Linked DNA regions of Arabidopsis thaliana. The protein of the gene in region 1 interacts with the protein of each later gene in a pairwise test. Each region holds a gene or a part of one and is shown on either strand. Other genes may lie near its edges.

Region 1 (6,999 bases):
TTAATATTTATAAATCAATGTATTTATTTGATTTTTATACGGAGAGGATTAATGTTGAGATACAGATATAGTGCGGCGCGGTGTACATGTGCTAGCAAAATTACTAGTTTACTAAGATTTGACTTCTTTTGATTGGCTTAGTGGAAATTCTCCCAAGCCACCATAGATGTTTTGACACGTTGATAGAATGTACTGTCAATGATTTTCAAGAGTGGGAAATTCACAGCTTTGTACTTTGGAGTTTGGAGGAACAACTGGAATGTTTGAGGTCGAATTTGGGAATTGAAATTTTTAACCCCTGGATGAGTTTATATTTGATTGATCTCTCTATTATGGGGTGTTGAATGTTATTTACAAAAAAAAAATAGTCATTGTTTTATGGACGAATAAATTATCTACTTGTCGTTTTTTTACCGAATAACGCATAAATTAGATTCAATACGGATAATTCCTAAAATAAAATAAAAACGGTTAGTTCTTCTAACATACGTTACTATAACAAACGTACTTGACGAGTTGGCATAAAAATGTATTTCTACTGTTTTAAAAGTAACGTACGATTCGTCTTGCATACTGTGACGAAATATGTAAATTCTTTTGTCGCTTAGTGATGATGTGAATTATTTTGATTCATAAAGTAGAAACTCGATACATACCTATTAACTAAACATGTATTATGTTGTGATTCATTTTTGCCTAACAAATAAAATTTATTAGCAAGAACCATTAAAATTTCATACTAATTTTGGATACTAAAATGTTAGATTGATATATAAGAAAAGTATATACTCAAAAAGATTTAACAATTTACCAATATTTAGTATTGGAATCAGTGTAGTGTTTGTTAGTACATGCTTTTCTACATTTAGAAACAGTTAAATTATAATTGCAAAAGGAAGCAATATTGAGGTATTAATAAGGTTTTACACTTTTACTTCAGCTAGCTTTGAATTTTAGAAGTTTTATGGACTATTAAATTATCTACTTGTCGATCTTTCATAAAAACTGTTGGCTCTTGCGAGAGATATGTGACCTTCCAATTGATCGCGAAGTGATAAGATGTATTCGATTTTTTCAGCTTATGCCATTTTTACAACTTTTCGGAAAAATGTTTCAAAATATCCATTATGAATTTGACATCCAAGTTATAAATTAGATAAAATTTACTTGAGATAACATATGGACATATAGATTTTACTTATTTATTAGAGTTCATTAACGAAAAATTATTGAGTTAAATATAGACATCTTTAAACTCGTTAATTTTAAAAAGAAATAATAAACAATATATATATATATATAAATATTTTATTTTCAAATTTTATTTATTTAAAGGGTTTTAATTTTTATTAACAGTTATAATATTTATGATTGTTTCCGGTTACTTTGATGCTATTTTCTCGTAATTCCCTTTTGTACATATATATTTAGAACCAAAAATTCAATCATTGAGAAGCATACTCTCTGTCAAGTGTAATTGATTCCTCCTCTTCATTTTTTAATTCTTCATTTCTTAAGTTTTATTAATTAATTGACTCACCTCTTCATCTTGTTTATTTCCAAGTAATTTTCCTAATGATGTCAATAAACAAAAATAAAAAGATTAAAATCACGCAATATCAGTAAAAAAGGAGAGAGGGTTAAATCGGTGGTGGACTTTGCAGCCCTAAACCATTGTTTCGCCTCGGAAAAGCCCATTTACACAATTGGGAAATAAATAAAAACAGAGTAAAGAAAGGAACGTCTTTTACTCTTTACGGTATCGCTCGCTTCTCTTCTTTCTCCTCAACACGAAGACCCCTCTTGCCTCTTTATTAGAGAGACCCCTTCCTTCTTCTTCTTCACCTTCACCTTCTTCCTCGATTCAGATCGTCTCCTCCTCTGTTTTATACTCACCCTATTCCTTCGAATCTCTCTCCATTTTTATCCCCAGATTCTCCCTTCTTCAACCTCGTCGACTCTTCTTCATCACTCTATTTCTTCCGATTGAGACTTCTTTCACTCTGATTTTCTTCGACCCTTTACGGATATATTCGGTCTTGAGTCTCCATCGGATTTGGATTTGAATGTAGGTATCTCGCACGAGAGTTGTTGTTTAACGTAAATCTGGGTTCTTTTTTTTGGTGGGTCGTTGTTTTTCTTCTACATGCAGTTTTGGGGATAGTACGTGCGATTCATCGATCAATCCTCGTTTAGATAGACATCAAGGATTTAAAGGAGTCGTTAAGAGAGCAATGGAAGGAGACATGGTGGCTAAAGTGAAGAGAGAAACGGTGGTGGCATGCATGACTTGTCCTCTCTGTGACAAACTCCTCCGTGACGCCACTACCATTTCAGAGTGTCTTCACACGTGTTAGTTCCTCTTTCCCCTTCTCGATTTACGTTTCGATTCGATTTTACCCGGTTTCTAATTTTCGCAATTTCTCGTCTTTATCGTCTTCTTTGATTGGTTCTCTGTTGTGTTTTTTTTTTCTTCCTCTTGCTGATTTGGATTGAATATCTGCATGATTCTTGTTGTTAGTCTCGTATGCCACTTATGATCTCCTCTATGTCTCAGTCGATTTGATGAAACTCGAGTCAATGAATAGTTTTGTTTGGTTTTCTCAACTAAAGTAATAGTTGTTGTTGAGCAGAATTTGTAATCTTTGTTTACATTTAGACTGCAAGAATCCTCCTTTATTCGTCTCTTTAGGTAAAATTTGTGAGTGTCTTCTTCTTCGTCAAAGATGGTTTGGTCAAACTCATGACGTCCAAATTTGGTTTTGGCTAATCATGTTGTTAGTTAGATTCAGTTGCTTTGTTATATCCAACTTGTAAGTTTTGTGTTAGGAAGTTCGAGTAACAAGTGCTTTAATCTACTCTCATCGGTTTAATGTAAGTTAATATTTGGATTAAGTAGCATTTATCAGCCTCTTTCTTCTACATGATATTATACAATTAAGACAGTTTAGATCATTTTCTGTTTGGAATGGCTTAATTTATTTCTTTTAACATACAATCCAGATTAGTAGTGAGTTTTCTGCATGTTGAAGTATTTGCTGATCTCTGTAATTTATTCAAATTTAGTTTATATTCCTTTTGGAGTCTAAATCAATCTACCATTCCAAGCTTTACACAACCAATTCTTTGTTACCGTTTACGGAGAAATATACCTTGTTACTCTGTAATTATTTTACTCATTCCATCTGATTTTAAAAAGGTAAATGTTAACAGTTCGGTTCCGTTGTACAACTGACCAACTGCTTATCTCAATTTAATAAAATTTTCAGAACGCCCTGCAGAATCTCTTTTTGAGTTACTGCAGTGCCAAAATTAGGTGTTAAATGCTTCACGGTTTTGTTTCTGGGGATGAATGCAGTATCCCCATCAAATTTGTGATTCCATCTCTTTTGTTTAGGTTGGTAGCTATGGATTTTCTTGATTTTAAAACCAAACAGTATGATGCTCATTAACCACTTGTCTACAAGCTTCTGCCATGACAACTAATATAACTTGATGCAGTAGAGACCATACCAATTATCGGCCTTGCTATAATGGATTTGGTGGAAGGAGTCCGATAATCTAACTTGCATCTAATAAATTCAAACTTGGCAGCGAGCCAACTTGCATTGAACCTCAAACATTATGCTATTCATTCTTTACTTAAACTTTTGATCTGAGAAATTGTTTGTTTTTATGTAAGTTGGTCGCCTTTATTACAAAAGATTTTGTTCTTACTTGATAGTTACTATCTATTGAAATGAAACAAGTTCTTATATCACTTTTATGCAGTTTGTAGGAAATGCATTTATGAGAAAATCACAGAGGATGAGATAGAGAGCTGTCCAGTATGCGATATTGACCTCGGGGGTACCCCACTGGAGAAACTAAGGTAAGTTCTTCTTCTTCTTTATTCCTTACACAATTTTCTCCTCGGTCTTGGTTTAGCAGTGATTCCTTGTATAGACTGTTAGAAGCCTTTTGGCTCTTACTGTTGATGAAACGAAGTTTTCTTACATAATGCTGAAAAGTTGTACATGATTATGCTGAGGTGTGCCACATATGGAAGGTTCTTCCGTAATTTTTGTGGCATAGTGTGAAGTTAATCAAGAAAAGTCATTTCGATTCAGAAGCAGTTATGACCTGAATATGTTGGCTAGTTTAATACTTTCGCTGACACCAACAATTTTTTGTTAGAACCTGAAACAAATCTCTTTAGTACTACACTCTCTCTTACTAGTTGGTCACCAGTAAGAGCTTTGTTGGTGGCGAACTTATTCATTTTCTAAAGAACCACTCTTATGTATTTATTTTAGGCCTGACCACATTTTGCAAGACTTGAGAGCCAAATTATTTCCTCTAAAACGTAAAAAGGAGAGAGCGCCTGAAGTTGTGTCCTCCATCTCATTACCTGCAAAGAGGAAGGAGAGGTCTATCTCGTCTTTGGTGGTAAGCACACCCAGGGTTTCAGCACAAGCTGGTACAACAGGAAAAAGAACAAAAGCTGCTACGAGAAAAGATGTAAGAGGTAGTGGTTCATTCACTAAGAGAACAGTGAAGAAGGAAGAAGAATTTGGAGATGATCATGTAGAGAGCGCAAGCTCGCCTGAAACACTTAAAAAGTTTACTCAGAATAAAAGACAGGTAAAGAAGGTGATCATTGCAGTTCTCTCTTTACCTTTATGTTTTACTTTTTCTCTTTACCAAGTCCAAACACAACGTTATGACTGATTATGGTCTTTATATAGTTCCCCATACATTTATTTATTTATTAATTCTTTTTTTGCAGTCTTCATATGCAAATCCTAACCAGTCCCTCTCTAATCGAAGAAACAAGGATGTTGATGAACCATGGGATTCCAAATTACATCTTTGGAAACCTCTAAATTTTCTTGTGGATGTGGCAAACGGAACAAAGGACCCAAAATCTGAGCTTGGAAACGCATCCCACAATGATGTTCAGGGGAGTAAAACCAAAACAAAGGATCATAAAAGAAAGTGTAAACTCGAGGAAGAGATCAGCAATAACGGTGATCCTACAACATCAGAAACTGCTACACTTAAACGAACGCGTCGGACTCGTCGCAAAAGGTCATCTACTTTTGGTGATTCTAGAATTCCACTGTTACCAGGTGCAGCAAGCCTAAAACAGGAGAGGAGAAACGGTCATGTTTGGTTCTCACTTGTAGCGTCAAGTAATCAGTGAGATTCCTGTTCTGTATCTGAGACTCTGAGTACTTCTGATATTCAATATTTTCTGTGTCTTTTCATTTCTATCTCTTAGTGACACGGCTTTACTGGTTTCAGGGAAGGAGAAGCATCATTGCCTCAGATTCCAGCAAACTACTTGAGAATAAGGTAAGTTGTTCTTTTTGCTTTGCTCTGTTTCTTGTCACTAAGTTTTTATATGTCAACTGTGAAGTCTGTGATCAAATATTACTTATTATTGCATTGATGGCTTTGAATTCGATTTCGCAGTTGTTTTACCCGAGTTTCCATGTCATGTTTGTTTTCTGTGGTATACGTTTCTTGATAAAGCCTTCTTCTTTTTTGGCCCATCACACCTAATCCTTGACTGGGAGGTGTCTATTTTCTTGTTTGGGAGAATTATATTGTGCCAGAGTTGATCCCCTGTCTCATTATATGGTAGGGATGGAAATATTCCAGTTTCTTTTATCCAAAAGTACCTCATGAGGAAGCTTGATCTCAAGAGTGAAGATGAGGTAAGCAATCTTATCTTATGCAGTGGCTACTTTTCTGTTTTATATGAGGTATCCACTCGGTCTAATATGGAATCACATAGACCGTAGTTCTATACATTGGTTCAAGTCTTGTGCTTATCAATATGACTGTAAGGTCCCCATAAATGTTTAAACTAAAGTTAACTCTCCCTTTTATTTCCGACTTGTGTACCGGGTGATATCTTATGATCTGGGACTTTTTCGACCCACCGGTGTTGAACCTTAACTACTCTATGTTTTTTTTTTGTAAACAGGTAGAGATAACATGTATGGGAGAACCAGTGATCCCAACGTTGCAGCTTCACAGCTTAGTAGACCTATGGTTGGAAACAACTTCTAAGCATCAAAGAGTCGCTGCGTCAATAGGTTCATCTGCAAAGGAATTTGTAATGGTGCTAGTTTATTCTCGGAAGCTCCCTGAATGCAACAACTAAAGAGCTATTCATTGAATCTTTTCTAGACCGAGAAGAAAGAAAAGTGCAGGAGCAGTGGAATGTCTTGTGTAGAAAGAAACTTAGCAATTTATATTTATTTAATTGTAATCTTAAAATTTGAAACATTGGTGTGAGACAGACACTTTGTTTGTTTATCCAAGAAGATTCAAAAATGGCTTTTTAAAGGAGATTGTGTCCTTTTTGGATATTTGAATGTATGATTAGGATAATGTTGTCATTTCTATAAATATTTGTTTCCTTGTTTGGACTAAATGGAGAAGTACACGGAATCCTTGTGAATCGAATGACTTAGCCATTATTGAGAAGTCAAAAGAAAAATAACCAAAAAAAAACTTGTGAAGTGTACCTTTAATACAAGAATTAAAGAGAGATGTATAAAAGTTTTCTAACAATTTTGTTCACCAAAAAAAAAAGTTTTCTAACAATTTTTAATACAAAATGCAAAATTAAAGATGAATTTTCTTATTTCTTTTTTTAAAACATAATTTTGAAGAAATTTGGTTGTCTTTTTGCATTTGTTTCTAGATATTTCTAAACTGTTGGGAAATAAAAAAATTTGCACACAAAACATAGTTAAATTCACGTGGTATTTATAGAGATTTACTTCAACCAAATTTGGATTTTGGGTCATTGTTTTATGGACGGATAAACTATCCATTAGTCAAATTTCCACAAAAATAATATGTGAATTAGATTCGACAAGGCTAATTCCCCCACAACATACGATACTAGAACAAACGTACTTGACTACTTGACGTAACAATGTTTCTCTTACTGTCTTGAAAATAACATATAACTCGTTCATCACCAATTTTCTTGTACAT
Region 2 (4,567 bases), on another chromosome or scaffold:
TTCAGAATGTTACATAATTTTAATATAATTTACTTAGAAAACAAGGACAAGTTGGGATCCATAAAAGAATAATTAAAGAAAAAGTATGGGCTCCAAATGATAATCTGGTGCACGCGATAACACAAACACCGGTTTAGTGGGTCCTTTGTGGCAGAGAAGCACACGTCGAGTAAGGAAGGATCACCCTCTTTCTATGTCTTTGATCGGCTCAATCCCCACCGTACATTCTAATCTCTACGATTTGGCTTTGCTTCGAACAAGTTTATTCCTTAAGGAAGTTAACGGACCTTAGCTCAGTTTGATCACAAATAAAAAAAATTCAGGTCGAGCTCAATCAACCAAACCGTATAATACTAACTCACACTTGAAATCTGTTTTTGATTATTAGACTACATACAAGACATTAGAGACTTGTAAAACAATATATTGGTTTTATGTCGATTAGTAGGTAATCTATCTTTCTAACCCTAGCTAATTAAAACAACAAAACCTTAGCTTGCCAAAGCTCATCCATTAATTGAAAAAAGATCTACTAAGTAAGTATAGTTTTGTATATACTAATTTGTGGGACAAACAAAATTTCAAAATGGCTAATGAGGACAAGATTTATACCCCACCATTAAAACAATGTGACTAGTTATACATCGAGTTGATATGATGGCTAGCTTAGAGGAATAATTTATAGTATACTACATTGAAATAAAAGTAAATTCCATTAAGAGAGAAAAGGAAAAAAAAAAAGTGAAGAAAAAAAAGAAATATTCTTGCTTCGAAGGCCCGTAGTTGAAGCCGTTGGCTGAGTGGGCTACTGCTCTTTACCTTCGTTTTTACGTTTCTCCTCTCTCTTTTTTCTATTGATAACTTTCTTTTATCGAAAGAGAATAACAAATTCATTAGCAAAACGCTTACTTGAGTACCTCTAAATTTACCAAAGTAAATTAAGTTTGACCACTTTTATCGGATACACGTCGAAAAACCTATAAGATTTACCTCTCTTATTATTATTTTTCTGTTGGATCACAATTAGTATAATACTTTAAAATTTATACTAGTAAAGAATATTGGGATATATATTCTCATAGTATATTTATTATTAGAAGATCATTTTATTATTCTCATTTTCTCAATTTTCTTCAATATAAGTTATATAACCGTGGACCATAGTTTCTTTCTTTGTCAACAATTATGTAATGTGGTTCTAATAAATGAAAAATAACTCAATAGTGTGTATGCTCAGCAATGGAATACCTAATTCAAGTCATTAAAGAGAGAGAAAAAAAAATCACGACGATTGGTAAATGTTAATGGACCAATGGAAAACCAGAATTAAATTACCGGTTAAGTTTGGTTCGGAATTGACGGTTTAGACGGGACAGCTGAGTTGTTAACGAGCTGTCACCGGATTCTACGGGTCACCCGTTTTGCTTCCTTCATCAGATAATAAAAAGATCCAACGGTTACAATAATCAGATTCTCTTCCCTTTATTCCTACTTTTTATTTTTGATTTTTTCTTTAAAACCCTCACTGTATCTTTTTATCGGTTGTTGGTGGCAGTTAGGTAATTTCACCTAATAACCTTTTTTTTTTTGCCTGTTATCTCTTTTTAATATACGTTTCAATATATTTTAATTATTATTAAAAAGTTCCCGTTATACGAATAAAATAGCATTTAATATATTTTTGTTTCTGGAAAATGTGTAATTATCTTTATATAAATGTTCATATCAGAGCACTATTTCTGGGTTTCAAAAAGAAAGCTCAGTTAGCTATTTTCTCTACCACAGAAGAATCTAGACCCAGAGAGAGAGAGAGAGAGAGAGAGAGAGATCAGTAACGAGAGAGTCAAAGAGAGGAGATTTCAGTGAAGATGAAGGAGATGCAGGCAATAGAGACGTCGCAGCCGACGACGGTGGCTCCGGCGGTGCATAGCCGACAATTGGGAGCTCAGTTGTCGGGAAGTATGAGTTTCAGCAGCCAAATGTCGAAGGAAGATGAGGAGATGTCTAGAACTGCGTTATCTGCGTTTAGAGCGAAAGAAGAAGAGATCGAGAAGAAGAAGATGGAGATTAGGGAAAGGGTTCAAGCTCAGCTTGGTCGTGTCGAAGAAGAGACTAAGCGTCTTGCTTTGATCCGTGAGGTATGTATCTATATTGGTTATTTCATATATAAAAAAAAGATTGTTTTTTTTTTGGAGAATTGTGCTTCAATTTTGGTTTTTGTTATGGAAATTTTTTGGATTGGGATGTGAAATTGAACATTTGGGGTTTTTATATTGTATAGAATGTGGATTTAATTCATGTTTAAGGGGAAATTGTAGGACCCAACTGTTGGAAATTTCAAGATCTGACAATTGCATTGAACAAATTCTTTTATAATTTTCCTTTGGTTTTTGTGTGGTTTATGCCATTTGGGGAGAAAATTTTGGGGCTTTTGTGTTTGTTTTAGGATTTTAAATGATCAATAGCAAGTAAACCTGGATTTGCTAAAAATAAGCTATTTGGATTAAGTTTTTTGTGAAAAGAACCATTTGCTTCTTCTGGGTGATGTTAAAGTTTATGAATCTGGTCTTAGTCTCTGGTTTTAGTACTTTTTCCCCTCAATTTATGGGCAGAACAGTGAAAGTTTCTACATTTATAGCACTACTTGATAGAGATTAGCTCTGTGGATCAAAGCTCTTTCCTTTCTATGAAAAGAACAATTTGCTTTTCCTGGGTGATGTTATGTTGATGACTAAGAAGCTCAGTGGTTAAACTGCATTTCAGGAACTTGAAGGATTAGCTGATCCCATGAGGAAAGAAGTTGCTATGGTTAGGAAGAAGATTGATTCTGTCAACAAAGAATTAAAGCCATTGGGCCATACAGTTCAGAAAAAGGTAAGGCTAAAACATAATCAAATCCATTGACCTGTGTTTAAAATATGTTTTGTTGAGGATTCAGATGCTAAGCTGGTTTATTTACGCAACTTGCAGGAACGAGAGTACAAAGAAGCTCTTGAAGCATTCAACGAAAAGAACAGGGAGAAGGTGCAGCTAATCACCAGGCTAATGGAGGTTAGTCAACAAATGCTCAAGTCTCTTTTCGTTGAGTTTGAATGATTGAGTTAACTGGTCTAGTTATTGTACTGCTTCTCTCTGATTTTTGGTTGTGTTGTCCTTTATTTTTTCACATTACCCTTGCTTGTGTGGATAAACACATTAAGCTAATTATTGTCTTGTAGCTCTGTTCTGAGAGACATGCATCAAACACCGATAGTTTTAGGCATATTTGTGATCTTGCGGATTCAGTGTTTAGTAGATTTTGATGTTGAGTTCTTGGACCGGTCTGTGTGTTTGCTTAAAGCTATGTGTGAGTCATCTCCATAGTTAGCGGAATCAGTTCCTTCAAACTCTATCTAAGTGTCTTCTTTTTGTATGAGTTACATCGATCGTTCTTGCCATTTTCTAACATAATTTGTCTGTAAACTGAACATATTCATCAAACCAGTCCACTCTGATCTGTGTCGAATATATTCATTTTGTTATGTGTTCTTAACTTGAATTGCGTTCTTGACTTAACGGTTTCCGATTCGAATGATTCGCAGTTGGTGGGAGAAAGCGAAAAGATGAGAATGAAGAAGCTGGAAGAGCTAAGCAAGAACATAGATTCTATACACTGACTTTGAATCCAAGACAGTACAAGAACTTCTTGGGCCAGAGATCATTCTCTGAGTGTTTTAACTCTACGTTTAGGTTTGGTGGTGGTGAATGTAATTTATATTTTATAATCGTCGTGTGTTATATTACTACTACAATTATTATCTTTGTTAGGGGTTCTTGGAGAATTTATAAGTGTAATGTGGTTTTTTTAGGAAGTAACTTCAAAAAATACTCATCAAGACAGGTTTGTAACTAAACGCTTCTTCTTCTTTTCTCTGAACTATCTTTCTCTCTTTATTGTCCTTTCAATTGATTTTTTACTTATCTCTCTTTAAAACTATTGTTCTGACATTTGTAGCATAATGTACAAAATGTTAGGTATTAAGAAAAGTGGAAATTTGTTTATATCATGTGCGCTGGGAAAGCTATAAAGATTAATAGAACATTGTGTAACTTGTGCGATCGATCGGTAGGTTAAGTTAAAAAAGATGGCATCACGAGATCAGATGTGATCTATATGTCGACCTTTTCCGAATTTGGTTTTATTCCAAAATGACCGTTAGAGAAAAATGATTGTTTCATGAGGAAGGAAATTCATAAAAATAATATCCAGAAGGCAAACCTTTATTTGTTTATCATTAAATATGTCCTCAACATTTTGACATGTAACCATTTATCTGATATTAATATCAAATATAAATCATATGATTAATGAGAAAATTATATAAACCATACTATAATTATAAACCAGACGTTTTGTTCATTATTTGATGGAGGGTGCAATAATAAGACATTAATGATCAAATAATCAATGATGATGTGGCTATTGCAATGGGAGACATAGATATCATCGTAAAAGAAACAAAAAAAATTCCTTTATTGTTTTGTGCAGCCTTTATTTTCATTTGATTAGCATCTCCTGATATAATGA
Region 3 (6,917 bases), on another chromosome or scaffold:
GTCATCATCATCTTCAAGGTCAATATCGAGATCAGGGATTGGAGGAGGAGCAAGGTCATCATCATCATCATCAACAACCAGCTGCTCTTCCATCTGAAGACCATCAAATTCAAAATTGAAATCGAAATCGGAAACCCAAATTGAAATCAAAATTTGTAGTAAATAGAGAGAGAGAAAGGAAGACAGTAGAAACCAACCGCCGAGATGCAGAGATTAGGGTTGGGCGAGAGAGAGTGGTCGGACGGTGACGGTGACGGTGAGATGTAGACGCTATTACCGATCATCTTCCACTAAACTAAAAACTAAAATCAACAAACAAACAACAACAATCGTTTCATCTCAGAGGACGCTGAGCTACCTGAATCAACGGAGACTCTATCCCTTTTTTTTTTTTTGCTGCGCCAAGGAATAAAGTTTCTATACACTTGGTTTGTTGCATCTATTCTATGCGGTCTGTTTTGTTTTTGTCGCATAACTAAATAACCAGAGCGGAGGCATGTCTTTATATATATGGTAACAATTCCTCAATGACTCATTTCTCACGAATCGGGTAAATTTGACTGAGCACCACCACTATCCCCTTGCGTAAAATATAAAACATAGACAACTAACTACCATCAAAACTCAACATGGGCAATTCTTGGGGGGACTTCGCAGGCGTACGAATAGGGCACACAACTTTTGATAAAGAAGTTGACAAACGAAAACAGAATAACACATATCAACATTACAAAATATCAATTTGAACCCAAACGGACAAAAGAATAAATTACAGATGAAGGACGCCCACGGCTCAAGCTCAAGCTCTCATAACAACGAAAACAAAACAAAAATTCTTTTCAATTGCACAACAACCTCCTGAAAACAAAACAGCAAACACAAGTTCAAATTATAATGTGGTTAAAACCTCTCTTCAATTGGTATCTTGAGAGAAATTGCGTACCTAATAAAAATAGGTAACAATAATAGCAGCCCAAACGGCTTCATAAAGCAGTTGGAGAAGCACCAAGGGCCTGCTGCTCCTAAGGAGCTCTTCTCTCTCACCCTCCTCCTTTCACTCCACTTAGTCAAATTAGATGACCTTCTTCCTTTCCACTCTTCTTTACTCACTTGCTAAAGCTCATCTCCGAGTATCTGCACATCCCTCGTCAACATGTGCTCGTTAGTGTTTCATTTCATCCTGGACCAATATTAACATTTCATTTCCACAAATATCTGTATCCAACTACTCCTGTGGTACTTTGATTTCAAGGTGGTTTCACGTCACACTAACACTGACCGATAAATAAACTAGATTGCTTCAAAACTCACCTACGAGGCTGCTTGTTTGGGTTGCTATTTGACCGTTGAGAATTCCCATTGTTCGTAACCTCTACATCAATAAACCCCCATACGAATCAGTCTCTCCATGTAATCATTCAAATTTCTTATTCGCCAAAACACAACAAAATCTTCTGAATCCATTATAACAACCCCATTTAATTGGCAAGAGTTATTACTTACCAGGTCTCTCCATGGGCTCTTCATCATTAGGATTATTGGAACTGTTCTCTTGGCTGCAACAAAAAATCAAAAATATAAGGTAATTGGGTACTTGAGCTCAAATTATATGCTTTACTAGACGCTCATAATCAGAGATGATTGACATGGTTACATGAGTGCCCAACCAAGAAAGTGAGTCTGTTTAATGAAAACTACATGTTTCTGGGTGTACATAGTCGAGAAACTACTAATCTAAGCACTTAAGAAATGTAAATCTAACAGGTAACAAGCATTTTGCAGTGGGTCTAGAATAAGAGGAACCACAAATCTAAAATCTCACATACGTTACTTAGTTAAGGGCTTAAAGCTGCATTCCCATACTACTCTTCCTCTAAGGTAAAAAGCAAAGAGTCTACACATATGCATATGGAAATGACATGTTGATTAACAATACTGAGAAAATTATTTCTAAACCTGGACGATCCGGCAGAGGAAGGTAACCCTGGTTTGTCTGCTTGGTAAGAACCATCAAGGACAGTATAAGGTGGACAATATGAACCCCCTAATGCTCCAGGGCCAGCCAAAATTGGCAGCCTGTCAATAATTTAAGAAAATAATAGCAGTAATAAGGACCTACTATAGATAGAGAAATAGGGAAATCAAACAAAAAACAAACAGCAGACGAGTGAAAGCAATAATTCAGGTTCTGTTTGGGCTAGTAAAAGACTAGTTACAAGATTAAACATCCTCTCAAATTACAAAAGCATGCAGCAAGTCAACTAAGAATGCACCAAATATATAACTTTTAAAACATAGCTGTGGAACTGCATACCATGTCATCTCAGGATTTCCGGTACCATGTTCTGGTTGGAAATAACCTGGAAGAGCCATTCCAAAAGTTGGAACCCCACCATGCTGACCACCGAATTGCATAACTGAACATGAAAATGAAAACAAACAAGTTTAAACTAGTCAGGCGTGCATATTAGCACCTGTACAAAAAGGTGCCGTTCTCAAGCGGCCCTAGACATGGGCAACCAGGCCAAGCGGCTCAGCATCAATAGCTCTCAATTTCACTAGCATGCATAGATTGATTCTGAAAGATGTCTTTCAACCATTACAATGTAGGATGAACAATGACATTCAAGAACAACTTACCAGGTAGAAAAGCAGGGAAATTTGGATTGCCGTGACCAGCTGCCATCCCGGCAGGGCCCATAAACTGTGTCCCTCCATACATAAAAGATCCCCTTCCACTAGGTTGGAGAGACCCTTTTCCCTTGGCAACCAAAGCACCTGTTTCTACGGCTGACTCTATTTCACCAGAAAGATACGGATTTTCTGATGATCCGGTTTTTGGAGGAGAAGAAGGCAGCAAACTGATAACAGCCGAATGTTGATTAAAAACCTGACCAGGAAGTTGAGTACAGCTCTGGTCAGTGCCTTTAGGCATTCCACGGATTTGCATCGGCGAAGAAACTTTGTCACCTTGATTAGGAGATTGCTGGTAAAGCACTTGCCCATGAGGAGGTACACCTCTACCATGACTTGTAGTCTGAGCAGTGCGTCCCCACAAGGAGCTGGATTTTGTATTCCCAAACTTCTTTCCAGTCGGATTAGGGTTTTCATTAATGTGCAGCCTACCCATGCCAGCTTGTACATCCTTTTGTGCCAAGTTATTGTTGGATCTTGAAGGATAAAATGGAGGAGAAGCTGAATTTAAACTTGAAGCAAATACATTCTTTTTGGCTTGGATGGCTTCAGTCTCTAAGGTAGCTGTTTCTGTTGGTGGACGCCCTAAATCAACGTGTGACACTTCCACAGACGAATTTTGGGACCTAAAGATTCCGTAAAAAGACACAACAATTAGAGACCTAGAGCCTTCATGTGTTGACTAGAGAGGAAACAAAATTAAGGACTCACTGTTTGGTTTGCACAGAAGGTGCTTGATTCCCATTTCTCAATGCAACCTCATATCTTCTGGCCCCCCTCCCTCTCGTGACAGCCTTCGGAAACTGATTTTGGTGTCCATTGCCAGTAAATTCTTTAGAATTGTTCCCCCGAGACTGTCCACGGTCCTGACCCCTACCCTGACCACGACCTCTGCCTCGGCCTCTCGAAGTCCTCCTCTATGTTCACAAGTTTAATTAATCAGCTTTCAAAAGGAAAAAAAAAAGGAAAAAGAAAAAAGAGGTGGCAAATGTATAAACACAGCAAGAGGAAACAAGTCGATGAATACAAATATATTTATGAAAAGGAGAGAAAGAGAAAGAGAGATGATCAGAGAAAAGTACATCATATTGCTGTTTCTGTGTATTCATTTCCTCGAATTTGTCATGTCCCCACTTTCTTTCATCTCTGGATTGCCAGAGCCTCCTACCACCACGCATTCGCCTACAGAAATAAAAAACGAAAACCTATATCGGTTGGCATTACCATGTAACTAAACAGAATGTTAAATGGAAAAATAGCAGTGTGATGGCATCTCGGGTAGATTCATACATAAAGATTCACAATCAAAGTTAAAACATAAAACCAAAGCAGTTGTTCCAATCTATCTGAACTCTGAAGTACATCATGAGATTGAATGACGGAAAGTCGTTTGCTAATTTCACCTATCAATGTACTCTACCTCAATAGTAGATAGATACATTTGCATAGTTTGGACAAAACACTACCTCCTCATAGAATCAAAAAGAGTTTACCTATTAGAGGCGGCATCCAATTCCTGAAATCTGTCATCATGCATATAGAAAGCTCCAGCAGTAGGCACTGCAAAAGGTTCCTTCTTCTTTTGTTCCTCTCCATCCACAAGATCAGTGGCGGCAGAGTCATCGGTCCCATTGCCGGCGACAATTGTCTTGTCATTATTATCCGCAATGTATTCGACATGGTCATCAACTTGTCCATAATCACCATCTTCCTCTTCGTCGTCATCATCACCATAACTATCTTCTATGTGCAATCCTTCATTATCATCAGAGTCGACAACAACAACACCACTGTGTTCATCGGAATGAATCTGGATTGCTGCTCGCAGCTTATCATGGTCGTCCGCTTCTTCATCATCCTCATCATCATCGCTGGCTTCTCTCCTCCGTGTAGCCAAGGAGCGGTTCAACTCGTCGGGATCACTCTCATAGTCGGAGTCTTCAACGCCATCAGGGGCCATCAATCCCTCTAAATCGGAGGGCCAAACCGAAAACCTAGAAGAGGAATAAATTGAATAGAGCAATCAATCGGATATGGGACAAACTAGTATATCTCTACGGAGAGAGACGACGATACCAGGAGATCAGAGCGAGAGAATCTCCTCAGTGTTTCTTCATGAGAGATCCGCAGATAGATAGATAGAGAGATAGATAATTATAATAAGAAAAAACCTCTTAAAGATTATTAAGATTGATTGGGTTTACTTTGTAGACGGGAAGACTCTTTCCGTTGGGTCTTCTTATCAAATCGAATGGGTTTTTTACTACTTGTAGACTGATGATGATGCACCTACAACATTTGACGCTTGAGTTCTTTTTTCCCAGTTTTTGGGAATTATCCAACTTGACTACTTTATTAACTTTTTTTTAACCAACAATACTAATTGATAAGTTTAATACAAATTAGCTCTACCTTATCACTTTTTCTCTCAACTATTGTTGTCTATTAATCCTGACAAAAGTGACCATGTTAATATAAATAAAACATGTGGTTTCTATATAAATCAAGGGTATATAACTCCATTGGTCAACAACTTGAATATCAATCAAAACCGGAAAATTAACTTCCATAGGTGCATGCAAGTGTGTAACTCAATGGAGTAGTTGAACCTATACACAGTTTGCAGTAAGAAGCAACAAGAAAATTTAAAATCATTTCCAAGACAAAATGGGTAGAAGAATAATGATATGGTGATGGTGATTACGGACAGTGGAAGAATGCAAGGAACTTTGTTTTGGGTCCTTGTTTGCTTTGAGAGATGTTTCGAGATGCGTCTCCTCCACAATACTAATAATAATGCACCATGCGTTATCCTCTGGCTCTTTCCCAACTTATCCCTTCACTTTGATTATTTCCAATTAAGTTTTTTGCTACTGCTATTGAGTTTTGCAAAAAAAAAAAAGATATCAACTACATAACCTATTGAATCGAAAGTCAAAACATATTATATGGGTGAAATCTCAGTTCAAAACAGATATTCTACAGGTGAAATCTCTCATAAGTTAAAGCTACATAAGAGTCCCAAAACCCCCTTTTTTTTTAATATGTATCTGTATTAAAAGCACAAAGCGGAAGCTATCAATAGATCAGTTTTTTAACAATGGAAACTAATCTCTCTCTGTGCTGCCTCATTTCTCTGCTGAATGTATCAAGTTTCAAAGCCAAGAAAATATCTATCTGTGTATGTCTTCACTCTTCACCAACCCTACTCTTGTGGCGGTGTTAGAACTGTACAACAAACAAATATTTAATCAGTCCACGGATTGATAAAAAAGTTAATGGCATAGAGAAGCACTATTTAAAAGACAGTCAACATCAAAAGTAAGATGATCAGTAAGACGAAGATGGGAGGCAGACAGATGAGGAAACATTGATGGACAGATGCAAACGCAAATCCTATGATATATGTGCAGATGGCAAAAGGATATTTTGGTGCAGCGACATCTTATAATCAATTGATAACCACAAATGCTATAAGGCTGATGCGGTTCCTTCACTAATCTTACCCCACTGTTCTTCAGACTCGTTACCATTAACTAGCACAGCACCATCCGTAGAGTCAGCGTCCACCACAACAGCCTCTTCTTCCACATTCTGCTGTCTCCCATCACTACTCTCTTCCTGACGATCCTCCTCCTCCTCTTCCTCTCCATCTTCCCCCTCTTCCCCAACCTGTTCACAACAAATGAAGCAGCGACAGTAGAATTAATGATCCTACCATTGTCCACCATGGCCAAGACCATTGGATTGGATATCATGGGTAAAAGACAATCCTCTTCAATGCATGTAATGTAAACATGCATACCTCGTCGAGAACATCCCCTTGCTCAAGTCGACCCTCTTCCTCTATTTGCATAATTCTAAAAGCATCCACTAAAGTTGTATGATCTCTGTCTGCATGACTACAATAATCCCCAGCAGGAGGATGGACGCCCCTGCAAGATAAGTCAACAAAAATACTTTGTTTATGAGGATCCTGAAAAAATGAAATCGACATTCGGCTTATGTTTATACGGGTATAAATTCAAATTATAAGCAAATACATGACGGCTACCTTGCTATGTAATACAGACACATGACTCTAAATGGCTTAAGTCCCACAATTCAATTAAAAAGGTTTCCTCATAAGCACTGTTTTTAAGAATAAGCTAATGACGGCAACGACGAAAAGATACCTCGTCTCTGCAGCTCTATTTTCAAGGGACAGGGCGACTTGCCACTCC

The links. The genes of interacting proteins can lie anywhere in the genome.
Region 2: the proteins of DRIP2 (region 1) and AT3G09980 interact in a two-hybrid assay, tested with the Arabidopsis thaliana proteins (one large-scale study listed by BioGRID).
Region 3: the proteins of DRIP2 (region 1) and AT1G80000 interact in a two-hybrid assay, tested with the Arabidopsis thaliana proteins (one large-scale study listed by BioGRID).

What each region holds. Positions count from the first base shown.
Region 1 is NC_003071.7:13,024,210-13,031,208, forward strand, and holds DRIP2 (DREB2A-interacting protein 2), read left to right. Parts: upstream 1-1,701; 5' UTR 1,702-2,234; coding exon 2,235-2,352; intron 2,353-3,771; coding exon 3,772-3,871; intron 3,872-4,295; coding exon 4,296-4,623; intron 4,624-4,768; coding exon 4,769-5,181; intron 5,182-5,286; coding exon 5,287-5,337; coding exon of another isoform or gene 5,338-5,341; exon of another isoform or gene 5,342-5,629; coding exon 5,630-5,702; intron 5,703-5,974; coding exon 5,975-6,154; 3' UTR 6,155-6,452; downstream 6,453-6,999. UniProt on the Arabidopsis thaliana protein: E3 ubiquitin-protein ligase that acts as a negative regulator of the response to water stress. Mediates ubiquitination and subsequent proteasomal degradation of the drought-induced transcriptional activator DREB2A. Functionally redundant with DRIP1.
Region 2 is NC_003074.8:3,067,490-3,072,056, forward strand, and holds AT3G09980 (ankyrin repeat 30A-like protein (DUF662)), read left to right. Parts: upstream 1-1,600; 5' UTR 1,601-1,868; coding exon 1,869-2,138; intron 2,139-2,763; coding exon 2,764-2,874; intron 2,875-2,970; coding exon 2,971-3,051; intron 3,052-3,581; coding exon 3,582-3,656; 3' UTR 3,657-4,042; downstream 4,043-4,567.
Region 3 is NC_003070.9:30,090,932-30,097,848, reverse strand, and holds AT1G80000 (CASC3/Barentsz eIF4AIII binding protein), read right to left. Parts: upstream 5,043-6,917; 5' UTR 4,655-5,042; coding exon 4,188-4,654; intron 3,877-4,187; coding exon 3,777-3,876; intron 3,612-3,776; coding exon 3,406-3,611; intron 3,321-3,405; coding exon 2,641-3,320; intron 2,418-2,640; coding exon 2,315-2,417; intron 2,077-2,314; coding exon 1,957-2,076; intron 1,557-1,956; coding exon 1,504-1,556; intron 1,373-1,503; coding exon 1,312-1,372; intron 1,181-1,311; coding exon of another isoform or gene 1,171-1,180; exon of another isoform or gene 1,135-1,170; coding exon 1,107-1,134; 3' UTR 944-1,106; intron 859-943; 3' UTR 526-858; downstream 1-525. Other genes in the region: FRS8 (FAR1-related sequence 8), read right to left, coding at 1-93, 198-284; AT1G79990 (coatomer subunit beta-2), read right to left, coding at 5,900-5,922, 6,201-6,366, 6,500-6,629, 6,870-6,917. UniProt on the Arabidopsis thaliana protein: Core component of the splicing-dependent multiprotein exon junction complex (EJC) deposited at splice junctions on mRNAs.